2 linked regions of the Oryzias latipes genome follow. The protein of the gene in region 1 binds, or shares a complex with, the protein of each later gene. Links are inferred from orthologs where the notes say so. Each region holds a gene or a part of one and is shown in the gene's direction. Other genes may lie near its edges.

Region 1 (6,506 bases):
TGAGGCAGGCATAAATGGGGGTGGGGGCTTTACCATGAAATTCCCCAGTTGCAAACTGACCAGCAAGATTGCCTGACACACAATCTGCTTTGCTCTGAGAGTCAGGAGAGCCAGGAACTGTCCCAGCATCAGCTCTAATGGGAGGCTTCCTGAATGGAACCCAGAGCAGCTTTTAGCACTGAAGCGGCAACACTAAGGTTACAAACGGATCGGGGGGGAAACACCTACATGAGTTACATTACCGTCACTGGTTAAGTATGCGTGGCTCACCGTGGGAAGCATTAGAAATTCTACTGCACGAAACCTAATATCTCCCACTTGTATAAACGTTTGCGAGTGTTTGCCGCTGGAGGCTCCTCCTAGTCCACTGACTCAGAGAGCAACTTTATTAATCTGTGGACTTCTCTGGCACCAAAAGTCCAGAGTCCCAAACACACCAGCCCCCCAAATGTTCATCTGTTTACCATACATCTTAAGGAAGAAAACCGCTTCATTCAAGCCCATGTCTTTGAGACTTGATTTCGATAAAATTGTTTTTGCCTCTCTCCTAAAAACAGAGGTTTTTAAAAGTAAAATGTTCATTTTGCTAACATGGTGGAAGTGGTAAACTAAAGTGTAGGCCTACTTTGTTCCCAACATTCACTCCTTCTGCATTTCCTGCTTCATTGGGGCTCTAGTCAGTTTGTCTATCACTGGACAAAGGCTGCAAGACTTTTACCCATTCCCCTTTGCTTCAGAACCAACACACAGAACAGCACGGCCTTTCTTTGGTGGCGTTGCAAGCTTCCATCTCTTAAGAGATTTTTTATTTAAAACTTGAGTAATCGGTGGAATGAAAATTCAGATAAGCCAGATGCTAATGCATGCGGTGCAGTTAACATTTCATATTTATTTTTCTAGAAAGAGTAAAAACACCTGACTTTACTGTCTCTGGATGTTACAGGCTAAAATGTAAATTATCTTTTTGCAAACAAATTATTCTACAATTGTTAAACCTTGCTTTCGCAAAGTAGAGTTTGTTGAATTTTGTATTGCAAAGACAAAAATAAAATAAAATCTGACAACACCCTTTTTCTACTTTTTTCCAGTTTTTTCTCTGCTCAGTTTATGTCCCCATGTGCACGGACAAAGTTCCCATTCCCATCGGACCGTGTGGGAGCATGTGTCTGTCTGTCAAGAGAAAATGCCTCCCGGTTCTCCTTGAGTTTGGATATACATGGCCCGAGGTGAGTTTCGCTCATATCAATATTTACTTACACATAATTTGACCAGACATGAAAAATACCTATAAATAATAACAGCCTTATTAACGATATGTTTTCCTGTAAATTGCTGGATTTTTCAGGTTTTGAGAAAATAGCTGTATAAACAGTTGAATGGCTGAATTTATAAACCAGTCTAAGTCTATAACGCATTTCATTTTTACAGCAAAGACACTCAGGAATTCCTGTTTCTTTCTCAGGCACTAAACTGCAGCCGCTTCCCACCACAAAACGACCACAACCACATGTGTATGGAGGGTCCAGGTGACGAGGACCCGCCCTACCAATCGGTCCACCATCCTTCTGACCAAGACTGTCAAGCCCTGGATTCTACCCCCGATCAGTACACTTGGCTCAAGCAGACTGAAAGCTGCGTACTCCAGTGTGGCTACGACAATGGCCTCTACCGGCGAGGAGCCAAAGTCTTCACAGATGCATGGATGGCGGTGTGGGCTGTACTGTGTTTCCTGTCGACTACTTTGACAGTCCTGACTTTTCTGTTGGACTCACAGCGATTCTCGTATCCTGAGAGGCCCATCATCTTTCTGTCTATGTGCTGCAACCTATATAGTGTTGCCTATCTGGTAAGTTCAGGGTTTTTCTTAAGGAATCAGTTCTTAGGATTAGATAGACATAAAAAAAGAGTGAATAAAACTAGGTGTATTTTAAGAAGCCACTCCAATTATCTTTTGATCTATTTTCAAAGCATTCCAAGTGTTCTTTTAATTAAGATTATGCCAATTATGCAGATATTATCCAGAATACCTGTGTCATTTTCTAGGACATATATTCTTCAGAGCGACAGGAGTTCATTAGCAATTCACAACAATTTGAATTAAGAAATCCATCCAATTTGAATTAAGAAATCCATCCAATGCCATAAGAACATGTTAAAAACACCAAAAACACTATTTTCCTCTGAGTGGGTCATTAAAAATAAACCAGATAAGGGATTTTGTTTGATCTCCATTCACAAAAGTTTACAATAATTCATAAAAGGTCAATGGATCCAATTTTTAAGGTTATTAGTTTTCACCATAGTTTAGTTTTACTTTCTAAATATGTAAAACATTTAATCAAAACCAAGCATAACTTGCTTAAAATATATATATATATATAAGTAAATCAATGTTTAACAAACTGTATCATTATAATAACAGAATCTAGTCCATGTGATTTGAAATGACTCAAAAATGTGTAATTGGATGCTCGATGCTAAAAAAAAACCTTTTCCCTTTCCTGTTATTAACTCAACTACTTGGACTTTTTAGGTACGCCTTACTCTCGGGAGGGAGCGCGTTTCTTGTGACTTGGATGCCGTTGGAGTGCCAGTTCTAGTACAGGAAGGTTTAAAGAGCACCGGCTGCGCCATCGTCTTCCTCCTGCTTTATTTCTTCGGCATGGCCTCCTCCCTTTGGTTAGTTTAAGCACATGAAACCTTTTGTCACAGTTTTCCATTGTCAAAGCAGTGCTGTTAAGGTCTCATGGTGGAACATAAGACCTTCATCCTGTCCCATAACCTCTGTATTAGTGGATTTGTTTTCCCATTCAAAGCTTTGTCTCCTTTGGAGTGAAGGCTGCACTAAAGTTGCAGTGGAAACCTGCTGCTGTCACAGCACTTTTGTCTGTTTCCCTGCGCCTCCGTTTTCCTGTTTATCTTCCTGGTTTGAAGAAAATCACAACTACCCAAAAATATTACACTTCTCCATAAATGGACACAAAACTCCTGCAGTCCTGCAGTCGTGATAACCTGAGAACTACCAGCAACTTTAGTCATCCACCTTTATGACTATGACCAGTCAACACAAAGGGCAAAGCTTTGAGATGCCCCAGCAATCATCATGCTACCATCCATTTTCAGAATATTGTGAATCCTTTTTGGGTTTAGGGGGTTATTGGAGTCATCTCAGCTACTGTTGGTCGAGGTGGGGTACACCCTGAACAGGTTGCCAGTCTGTGGCAGGGCCACACATGCATATCTAGGGACAATTGTGAGTCACCATGAACACAGTAAAAGTGTTTTTGGACTCCAGAGAGCCCAGAGAAAACACACATGCACAGGGAGAACATGCAAACTCCACACAGAAAGGTCCAAGGTGGGATTCAAGTTGGCTGTCTCACTATCTCTTCAGTTTTTATTTTGTTTGTGAATTAGATGCATGTCGTTTATCTAAAATCTCTACATTCAGAAATAATGTGGTGCACAGGTAGATCGGCCAACCTCTTGTTGAAAGATCACAGGTTTGGTTCCCGCCTTGGCGACCCACGTGTCAAAGTGGCAAGACACTGAACCCCATATTATTCCTGGTGGGGAACTGCCATTGTTTGTAACACACAAAAGTAAATAAAAACTTCATGGCCAAAAAACCAAAATCTTCAAAGGTTTCCGGAATCATTTCAGATAAATGTGATAAATGAAGAGGCCAGCAAAAAAATACCAGGACCGTCCCACCCTCTCCATGCACAAACCACCACCACAAGAATTTCAGGTGAACAGGTGTACTAAATCAAGTTCTTCCCATGAACATGTGACATTACCGAACAATTGCAGCTACAAGGAAGAGAAACCGGCCCTAAAATCTCAAGCATCACTGACAAAATCATTTACTGTTCTTTATTCAGAGCAACCATCTTCTTGTGGTCATTTCTGATAAAAGATCTTTCTTTCACCCTCTTCCAGGTGGGTTATCCTGACCCTGACCTGGTTTTTGGCAGCTGGGCTAAAGTGGGGCCACGAGGCCATTGAAATGCACAGCTCCTACTTCCATATTGCTGCGTGGGCCATCCCAGCTGCCAAAACCATTGTAATACTCATCATGAGGCTGGTGGATGCAGACGACTTGACAGGGCTGTGCTATGTCGGCAACCAGCAGCAGGAGGCCCTCACAGGTTTCGTGGTGGCTCCACTTGCCACCTACCTCCTCGTTGGTAAGTCCAGCCCAATGGATACAATTTAATTGTATTCCCATCATCTAAGTTATGCGACTCATTTTTGAGTCCTCTGTGTCTTCATTGCAGTTGTTGTCTTCATTCCCACAGGAACTTTGTTCATTTGTGCGGGCCTCATGGCGCTTTTCAAGATTCGCTCCAATCTACAGAAGGACGGCACCAAAACAGACAAGCTGGAGCGCTTGATGGTGAAGATCGGCGTCTTTTCCATACTGTACACCGTCCCAGCATCCACCGTAATCGGCTGTTACCTCTACCAGCTCTCCCACTGGGGAGAGTTCAAGACCAGCACCCACGATTCATACGTGACATCGGAGATGCTCCGTATCTTCATGTCACTCCTGGTGGGGATCACGTCGGGAATGTGGATCTGGTCGGCAAAGACTCTCCACACATGGCAGCGCTGCTCTTCCCGGCTGCTCAGAGAAGGCCATGTTGGGCGAGGTGGTAAGAGCGCACCGGGAGAGGGCTGGATCAAACCTGGCAAAGGAAATGAGACAGTCGTGTGAGAAGGTAGCCCATGAGAGAATGGACAGCAAACAGGATCTGCTGAACTCTCTTCCTGTTAAAAAACTGTTCAATGAAGGATCGAAAGTATAAGGAGATTGGTGTTGGGTAAAAATGTGACCCATAGTGGGACGTTTCCAATGGTGCCACTGGATTAAATGGCATCACACGAGCCCTCGGACTTTCACTCCCTGTGCCTCTAATAGAGGTTGTGAAGGAGAAGCTTAGACGAACAAGTCATGCTTCAGCAGCAGCAGCCTCTCTACCTCGGTTCGACCGCTGTCTTCCAGAGAGGCGAAGAAAAGGAAAAAGAGACAGAACAGGCACAACAGTGGTATCAATATGCAAACAAGATCCACCAATAAGCTGTACTGCACCATCTCTACCTCTCTGTCTCTTTTTTCTCCAGAGTTTTCCAGCAGAACAAACCGAGCTGCTGAACACTGTAAACCTTTAAGCTGTTGTCTCTTTTTTTTTAAGTTTGTAATTTTTACACTGGAGCAGATATTATGCAGGTTCGGACTGAAATTTCCCAGAATCACCTAACAACTAGACACAGTTTCCAAAAAAAATACAAACGTACCATTTAATCTGAATTATCGCAGTAAAATATTACCTTATGACCTCAAATCTTTTTATTTAACCACTGATCAAATTTTCTTTGAATTCTTAGTACACGTGATTTTAACTGCCTCAATTTGTTTGGGAAACCAGCTCTAAAGCTGGAATAATGCACTAAAAATGTATAATAACTTAAGTGTTGGAGCCGATAGGAATATGCACAGCGTAAATATTGAGAGATGTCATAGATGCGGCAATTTTTTTTGTAAAATTGAAAGCAACACTGCCAGGTGTACACACTATAGTCAGCCTTGAGCAGGACCTGCTGTGCCTGGGAAATGCAGGCATTTGGGTTTTGCTCTTTTAAGAAAACTGTTCCAATGAAGTCTGCGGCTTTTATGAAAATCCTATTCTTTATAAGCTTAAGGAGCAACAGAAAACTCAAATATCCCCCTGCCCCTGATCAAACAGTGAAGCCATGTTTCTGAAAAGGAAAATGTTGGACAATCAGTTGCCAAAATATGCGTAATCGGAATTCTAGAGCATGCAGAAAAATAAAGGAAAGAATGCATTGTCGGCATTAAAAGTGCAGTGTAAGCTAAAATATTTGAGTTATGTTTAAATTGAGGGGTCACACACCAGATGTCCGTTTTTTTTATCCACCAACTCGATCTCCAACCACGGTGTCAACAATTTTAAGGAGAGAAAAAGGATGTCAAGATACCCGTCAAAGGTTTATTTTTCTCTGGGTCACAGCTGCTGTTTGTCGCATGTGCAGTATGTGATTGCATTCATGCACCTTAAGGCCTCCGTTCCCAGACATACCAGGTTCTCCGTGCTTCATGTTGGCGTGTATTTTTAAACTTAACTCGTCTCAAGGATTTTCAACCGAAAAACAGCTCCTGCATGTTTGCCTGACAATCCCTTTGAGCAAAGCATTTTAATTGAATGTTTGAATGTGATGGTTGTCCTTTTGCATTTCAGTGGGCAGTAATAGAGCTTGAATCGCTTGCACCTGTCCTTATGTGTCATCTGTAACCAGATAGTGCCTCTCACAGCCTTTGAATTCATCCTTTGCTTAGTGTTTCAAATGTTTCATTATTTGCTTAGTGTTTCCAAACATGCATCTGGAAACGGTGGCTCAAGTGAAATCTACATTTACGAGAACGATTATCGGTCACTTAAAGCAAACTGAATTAGCTTAGTTCCCTCTTAACCCTTGTACTA
Region 2 (7,589 bases), on another chromosome or scaffold:
ATAGATAGATAGATAGATAGATAGATAGATAGATAGATAGATAGATAGATAGATAGATAGATAGATAGATAGATAGATAGATAGATAGATAGATAGATAGATAGATAGATAGATAGATAGATAGATAGATAGATAGATAGATAGATAGATAGATAGATAGATAGATAGATAGATAGATAGATAGATAGATAGATAGATAGATAGGAGGTGAATCTGGTGATGATGAGCTCCCTGTACTCACTCTCATCCCCTCCCTTTACACACGCCACAATAGCAGTGTCGTCCGAATACTTCTGGAAATGACAAGCTGCAGATTCATAATTAAAGTCAGCAGTGTAGAGTGTGAATAGAAAAGGCGATAGTACATTTCCCTGTGGTGCACCAGTGTTGCTCATCGATGTCCCATATACACAGACTCCTATTTTTAAGTCAAAGTCTTTGTATTTGAATCACAAAGTGAAACATGAAACATAAAAATTTGTATTTTAATTGATGATATAATTCAACTTTAGTTTCCTCCGATCTTTCAGAATGTGTTCCTTTATTATTTATTGTATGTTGTAATAAGAAGCAATCTTCCCGCTCATCACTGCTTTTGCTGTTTCCCAAAGAACACGTGGTGAAATGACAGGAGTGTTGTTAAAGTCTAGGAAGGCTGCCTGCTCTTTTTTAAAGAATTTAATAAACTCTTGGTCCTATAGCAGAGAAGAATTAAACCTCCAAATTCTAACTTTTGATCTATATTAAAAGCGTTCCCTGTGGTCTTTTCATTATTATTCCAGCTCAGATAAGGAAAACAATGTTGTACATGAATCTATTTGTGTGCAAGTATATTCATCAGAATGGAGCATCAAGTGTATTTTCTACGTCACAACTGCAATCTTTTACAAAGGCAATTGTTTTGTCTGGTCCTGATTTGCAATGATTTGATAAAGAAATACAGTTTTAATCTTAATTTTTTATTTCCATACAGAAATGTGAGAAGAGGGCTGCTCGCATTTATCCTTTAGGCAATCAAATGTGATTCTGTGAATTCTGTGTGAATTCAATTAATTCCGGTGGTGCAGTGGTTAGTGCTCTTGCCTCACAGCAGGAGAGCCCACAGCTAAAGTCCAGAAACAAAACATCACTGGGGGACCTTTCTGTGTGGTGTTTGCATGTTCTCCCTTGTAGGTTTTCTCCAGGGACTCCGGCTTCCTCCCACCTACATAGATTAATTGGTAAATCCCTAAATGGGTGTGTAATTGTGGCCCTGCTACAGTCTGGTGCTGTCAGGATTTTCCCTGCCTCTGCCCACAATAGGCCGGGATAGGCTCCAGCAGCCCTGTGACCCCAAAGGGGACAAAATGGCTTAGAAGATGAAAAGAAAATTGTAATTCCATCCATCAATTTAAACAAGAACTGGTATGATGTGGCTTAGATCAGTTTTCCTTTTGTGAGATAGTTTTGAAAAATTGGAATTTATGAAAAAGAACTAAAAGACATGAGTTACTGTCATTTGTTTATGAGCTCAGGTCATCACTGGCACCTCATGCCTCTTTGAAAACTATTGAACCAGAGCCTCAGTTCATGACTTCAACCCCAAAACTGCGGGTTGAAGTCACTGAAGTAACTTACACCGATCTGGCAACTGGTGTGAGCCCCGTGACAGCATCAACTTTCAAAGTTTTATTAGTTTTTTATTGATAGCAGTTTGTCCCTCTTTTGGTGTCCATCTGTTGATCCATGCAGGAATGATGGATGAGGCTTCTGTAGAGTATAAAATATTGTATAACTTCTGACTGTGGTTAACATGACTACCCTCAAAAAAAGGCATCCTGTACCACAAACATGCACCCTGCAGGGTGTAAAAACTGATCACAGATGAGAACATATGTCTGAGGGAGGAGAGCTATATATGTCTCACATTGATGACCTGTATTTCATCTTCTGCATTGTTTGGCAAAGTAACCTGACTTTTGTCCGAGATTTAAAACTTTTGAACCTTTTTTGTTGAGTGAAGCCCACTGTGATGGGGCAATGCAGCTCTACCAGCAAAACTAACAACAGTCAACATCAAGAAGGAAGTTCCATGGTGACTTATAACACCTCCCATTTGACTCCTGTCCTCCTAAACTGACCCCTATTTCCTTTTTTGTAGAGGGACAGAATGACGAGGAAGGCTACAAGCACCAGTTGTTTTTTCATAAACTAAATCTGTTAACACTTTTATAACCCTGACCTCATAAAACCTACTGCAGCTCTTGGTCAGCCATCCCCCTGATGGGACGCTCTGGGCTTCCAGGCCTGGAATTCCCATTTGCCTCCGTGGAGCGTGTCGGTGTGTCAGCTGCCTTGTTTGCGAGGGAGAAGGGGAGAGAAAAGGAGCATGATAAACGACTGCTCTGTCACTCTCCACATGTGAAGACCATCCTCACGAGCAGCGCATCCGGGCTGCTCCCTTGTTCTGGTGATTTCCCTGTTGAGGAAGGAGAAGTGAGGCTGTGTGTGTGTGTGGGGGGGGGGGGGGGGGGGGGGGGGGAGGAGGTGAAAGTGAGACAGAGGGAGGAGAGAGCCATGCTCAGACGACCAGAGTGTGTGAGAGGGGTAGAAACAGGAGGACCTGACTGGGAAACAATAGAAGGACAAATCCACTCTGCTGTTTCTCCGCTGAAGGTAGGACCACCACTCTGGGTGTTTTACACCTGGATCAGCACACCTGCACCTTCAGTACATCTAACATGTTTTCACTTCTGCATTTCAAGCACCATGGGAGAATTTGAGTCCATGGAGTTGTTGTTTTCCAGAACTCAGGTGAAAACTCTCTTCAGCCGCAGTCCAAGAACTGCAAGTGTTTGCAATTAGGATACAGTGGGACTTTGTATGTAATGAGAGGAAACGTGTTTGTGTTGGCGCCGGTGGCTTTGCTAAGTAGGCATTGACAGAAAGCGTTTTCAGTGGGGAGTGTGTATGGATGAAAATGTGTTTCACAGCTCTGTTATGTCCTTGAATGAATGACTGACTTAGCCTGTGGTGTTGGGACCTGAGACCACTGACTTATAGTGAAAGGAGAATGATGACAGATATAATACAACTCTGTGGTAGGTTGAAGGAGGAGACGACTACGACTTCCTTTAAGATGAAAAACAGAGGTGTGTGTGTGGGGGGGGGGGGGTAGAAAAGGAGAAAGTGTTCAGATGAAAAATTAACTGACTATGAAGGTTCGGTTAATAATTATTGACCCAGAGGAATTAGTAAGTGAAAGGAAGAAACTTCAGATCGAAGGAGAACGGCTGAGTCAGAAAAAGACATAATAAAGAGGAGAAACGGAATGAAACTGAGATGTGTGAGAGAGGTGGAAAGAGCAGTGGTGGAGAAAAAAGGAGTGAGTTCAAGTGATGCAAACATCCCTGCAGACATCTCATTGTACGTCTGGCAACACCAGAGGAGAAACACTTTCTGGAGTCATGAAACCACCGTGGAACTGTTTGGAGAAGAGCAATGAGACCAAAGCAGGAAGAAGGTGTGTTTGAAACATGGCTGCCAGGTGCAGATGGACAGCAATGCTCTGGCACAGCCAAGCTTCATTTTCATGAGCTCTCGTGTTTCGCATTCACACACACCAGAGTCCTGCATTTGTTTAGACAATTCTGAAGCTCTCATAGGAAGTTCACAGTGTCGCTGTAGGAATGCACTTCTGACAAATGGATGCTCTGCACGAACTGCAAGCTATCGACAAGCTCCTTAAAGATCCACTCCCATGAAAATTGGGTTTTTAGTGTTTTTAACATGTTCCTGTGGCATTTTTCTCATATTGGAGGACATATAGAGAGAAAAATTAATCCTAAAACTTAATTTCTAAGTTTTTATTCATTCAAAGCTGTGAATAAGGAGCAGACAAAAAAATGCTGTTTGAAAAAGCTTGTAGTTGTGATGTACAAAGTACACTGGGCGGGGCACAAGCTCCCTTTTCCGCTCCATTCCGAAGCATCCTTAACGACAAATAGTACAAAGACAAACGTATACATGTTTGTTTTCTTCATCTGAACTGGAATCTGGCTCAAAACGTTACAACTAGTTAGTTCCGATATTGATCACCAGTTTTATTGCTCAAGTCATGTTAAGTTGAGGGTGTGAAGCTTGTGGGAAATGATGCAAACAGATGGATGATGGGAAATGGGGATGGTCTTAATGTGCACTAATTGTCTTGCCTAAAACTCAGAGGTAAATTCCTAAAGAAACAACTGCAGCTCTGCAGAAACTATGTCCTTTTTTTTATTTTGGCTGAAGATAGTTAAAATACAATTAGATATGCTTTTACAATTGATCCAAAGATGATCAGAGTGGGTCTTTAATACAACCCTGACCAGCAACTGTGTGACACATTTGCTGCCCAAAGGAGCCGGATCCCAAATGATAGAACTGCAGCTCCTCCTCTTGTTCACCTCGGGCTATAAACTTAATGAGAATTGATCCTGTTTCACACACTGTTTTTGCCCCCCAGCTCCGAAATTCCCTGGAATTTTTCTTTTTTTTCAGTCAGGAGAGTAGGTGTCTGTGAGGTGTTTGTGACCCAGAAAGATTAGGAGGATCTTATTTTTATTCTGTTGCAAGAAAAATGCCTGTGATGTTTTCAGAAGCTTTCTTCGTAAAGCTCAACTCTGGCTCACATGGCTGCCTGTCCGCGGCTTTCAAATCCGCACTGTTTGTCTTATCTTTACCGAAGGGGATATATTTAGTGAGGAGCTTAGCTTTTAGGAGGTTGGCACGTGGAGAGAATAGGAGAGTACAAAAGAGGAAGTTTGTGCGTGTTTGTGTGTGCGTTTCAGGCGTTGGCGTCAGTAGACAGTGGAGGAGCTTGGCACTCTGCATGCCAAACTGTGTTTGTGCATATTCTGTCAGTGTGTGTTTGTGTGTGCACGGCTAGAGGACAGGTCTGCGCCCTCCCCTCCCCTCCCCTCACCGCAGTCCGGAATCTGCCCTTTAGTTTATTAAAAGCTGGGGAAACAATGGAGGGGATGAGTCTGGGGATGAGGGCAGGTGGGGAGGTAAAACTATGACATAATCTCTGGGCACAACTTCTCTCAGCATTCAGGCAGACTCAATCCTCTGTGCTGACAGAGCAGAAGTTCCCTCTGAACATCTGGACCAGCAGCTTTCTGACAGCAGTTCTAGCTTCAGAAAAGGTCTCTCTGCCCATATGAGTGGTAACAACGCATAAGTTAGGTGGGCGGAAGATATGTATAGTTGGATCCCACTGGGGAGAACCAAACACTTTGATGGCTGAGATTTTGCACTCTACACAACAAATGGCTGCCACAGTGGGGGGCTCAACAGATTAGATTTAAACATGTTTTTCTGCACTTGAATAAAAGTTTCCCAGAGAAGATCATCTTGACACCCACTAAGTGTGCTCTTACAGTGAATGTTCTACCATGTTCGCCATTTTTCTGGTTCTTTATCAAACATACTCAATGAAGATAACTTTATTGGAATTCCCGAAATGTTTTGCAATTACACTGTTTCCATTAAATCAAAAATATGCGAATAAACACAAACCAAATCACGCGATAAGTTGTTCAAAAACATGGTGACGCATATGATTTACAGCAGATAGACTCAAATTTCTGCCACCGCACTAGCGCTCATCATTATCTATCAAAGCAGACGTCGGCGTCTTATTCAAGCCATGGAGTGACAAGCTCTTTACACTTGGGAGGGGCTACAGATGAAGTAATTTTTGAGAAATGGTGGTTGGTGATTTTACAGAAGAGCTGTGGATCCAACAGCATGACACGCTCAACTTTTGATGAGCTGTGTGATGCTGTGGGACCTCTTGTGGAAGCCAATGTGTAGTGCCAGGCAGCCAGTTCCTACCAAGAAGCGCATTGCCATCTGACTCATTTAATTAGAAAACAATGTTTCTATTCCATTCTATTCCATATCGATACGCATCAAAAACCACCTCCTCCAAACGCAAAATTGTCGTGTTTCCATTAGGCACATTTTTTATCGTAAGTCCAATTAATGCAATTTTATAGTTAATGAAAAACACAGCTCATGTTAAATTTATTACTTAATCATGATCTGAGAAATCTTCAGGATGAGAAAAATAGTCTTATTCACCAAAACAATGGGTACGAGAAAAGCCACAGGAGTACAGATTCTCTGTTTCTTGTCTGTTAGCAGACAGACAGTCAAAACAACATGATCTACAGCCATGTATTATGAGGCAAATGATTAATAACATGTTCAGGGATCTTGGATCAAGGCTTCCTAAAAGTGGACACTGGTATGAATGCACTGAGCTTTAGAGTCTGCTTCATGTGAATCCACTGATTAGCAGCAGAGAACTGAAAACATGAGCGACCAAAAGAGTCTTTTGGAATGACTAGGGCAGAGGTCTGCAACCTGAGGCTACAGAGCCTCTATGACCCCTCCTTTGTGCCTCTCTGCTTGAAGAAAAATAAAATGTTTCTAATTTTAAAAAGTAGCATATTTTTCAAACTACAAGGCAAATCAAGCAAAACAGAACAGTCAGATAAGTCAAACTTTATTCAATTCATTCGCAAACAGTGAACGAGTCCTCGAGACTTCTGACTCCAATAGCCGTGATGCTTCAAGCAGTTAAGTTGACCAAAGTCAAACTAAAACGGTTTGACAGATATTTGAGGGCTAGATACCATAGTAAATCAACCAGAATTCATATATTCTGTATACTGGCTTATATATCAGATTTTCTTTTTTGAAAAAAATAAGGATTGTAAGTGTACCATGTGGTCCAAAAATATATTTTAATCAGCTCATATTTAGTTAGTGGGTTTACTAGTTTATGGCTTAAATGCACCAACAACGGTATAACAAAGTGTACTTAGTTTTTCTTTTATAACTACCGGTACTAATATAACCCTACCAAGTACTACATTTGCTGCATTGAGATGATCCTATGTGACACAGGATGTCTTTTATTTTGAAAGGTAGTCATGTTAACCACAGTCAAAAGTTATAAAATATTTGATATTTAGAAAAAAATGATAGTTTTAATTTCTGTTTTATGTTTGCACAAATAACCTATTTATATTGATCATAAGAGTAACAGTAATTTCAGTCAGACAACTCTTGCAGAAGAACATTTATTTCACAACATCTTTAGGATGACATTCACAATTTGATTCACAACTTCGTTTTGGCATAAGGCTCCGTTCAATTCCTTGAGACAATTATTTTTCCATACACTTTCGGGTAACAACCCCCAACACCAAGATCATCCAGAAGAAGAAGAAAATGTAAATGTATAATGTATAATCAGTGTGTAAATAAGATGAGGTGTGTTTTCGGCAGCATTCCATTTTCACTTCATTTCATTTCATTTCATTTCATTTTCCAGTATGACTGCTATGTGTTTACCCGGCACCATTGACCGTTTGGCCGCTCCCTTCGAGAACCACTCTACGAAGGGAACATGCTATCTAGTGTATCTGCTATGTGTTTACCCGGCACCATTAACCGTTTGGCCGCTCCCTTCGAGAACCACTCTACGAAGGGAACATACTATCTAGTGTATCTGCTATGTGTTTACCCGGCACCATTGACCGTTTGGCTGCTCCCTT

Evidence for each region.
Region 2: the proteins of fzd4 (region 1) and ndp are in contact, whole or in part, in a crystal structure (PDB 5BQE), measured with the Homo sapiens proteins. The link is inferred for Oryzias latipes from reciprocal best matches to the Homo sapiens genes FZD4 and NDP. Residues at the interface, in NP_036325.2 of Homo sapiens: Ser51, Met52, Gln54, Asn55, Leu56, Gly57, Gln95, Phe96, Met105, Thr107, Lys109, Ile114, Asn152, His154, Met157, Cys158, Met159, Glu160, Gly161, Pro162; in NP_000257.1 of Homo sapiens: Asp33, Ser34, Pro36, Arg38, Met40, Arg41, His42, His43, Tyr44, Val45, Asp46, Lys58, Met59, Val60, Leu61, Lys102, Lys104, Leu106, Tyr122, Leu124, Ser125.

Annotation. Positions count from the first base shown.
Region 1 is NC_019871.2:21,519,409-21,525,914, forward strand, and holds part of fzd4 (frizzled-4), read left to right. Parts: intron 1-1,088; coding exon 1,089-1,226; intron 1,227-1,462; coding exon 1,463-1,846; intron 1,847-2,533; coding exon 2,534-2,679; intron 2,680-3,942; coding exon 3,943-4,190; intron 4,191-4,301; coding exon 4,302-4,720; 3' UTR 4,721-6,506. UniProt on the Homo sapiens protein: Receptor for Wnt proteins.
Region 2 is NC_019879.2:12,495,311-12,502,899, reverse strand, and holds the start of ndp (norrin), read left to right. Parts: upstream 1-2,524; 5' UTR 2,525-2,655; intron 2,656-7,589. UniProt on the Homo sapiens protein: Activates the canonical Wnt signaling pathway through FZD4 and LRP5 coreceptor.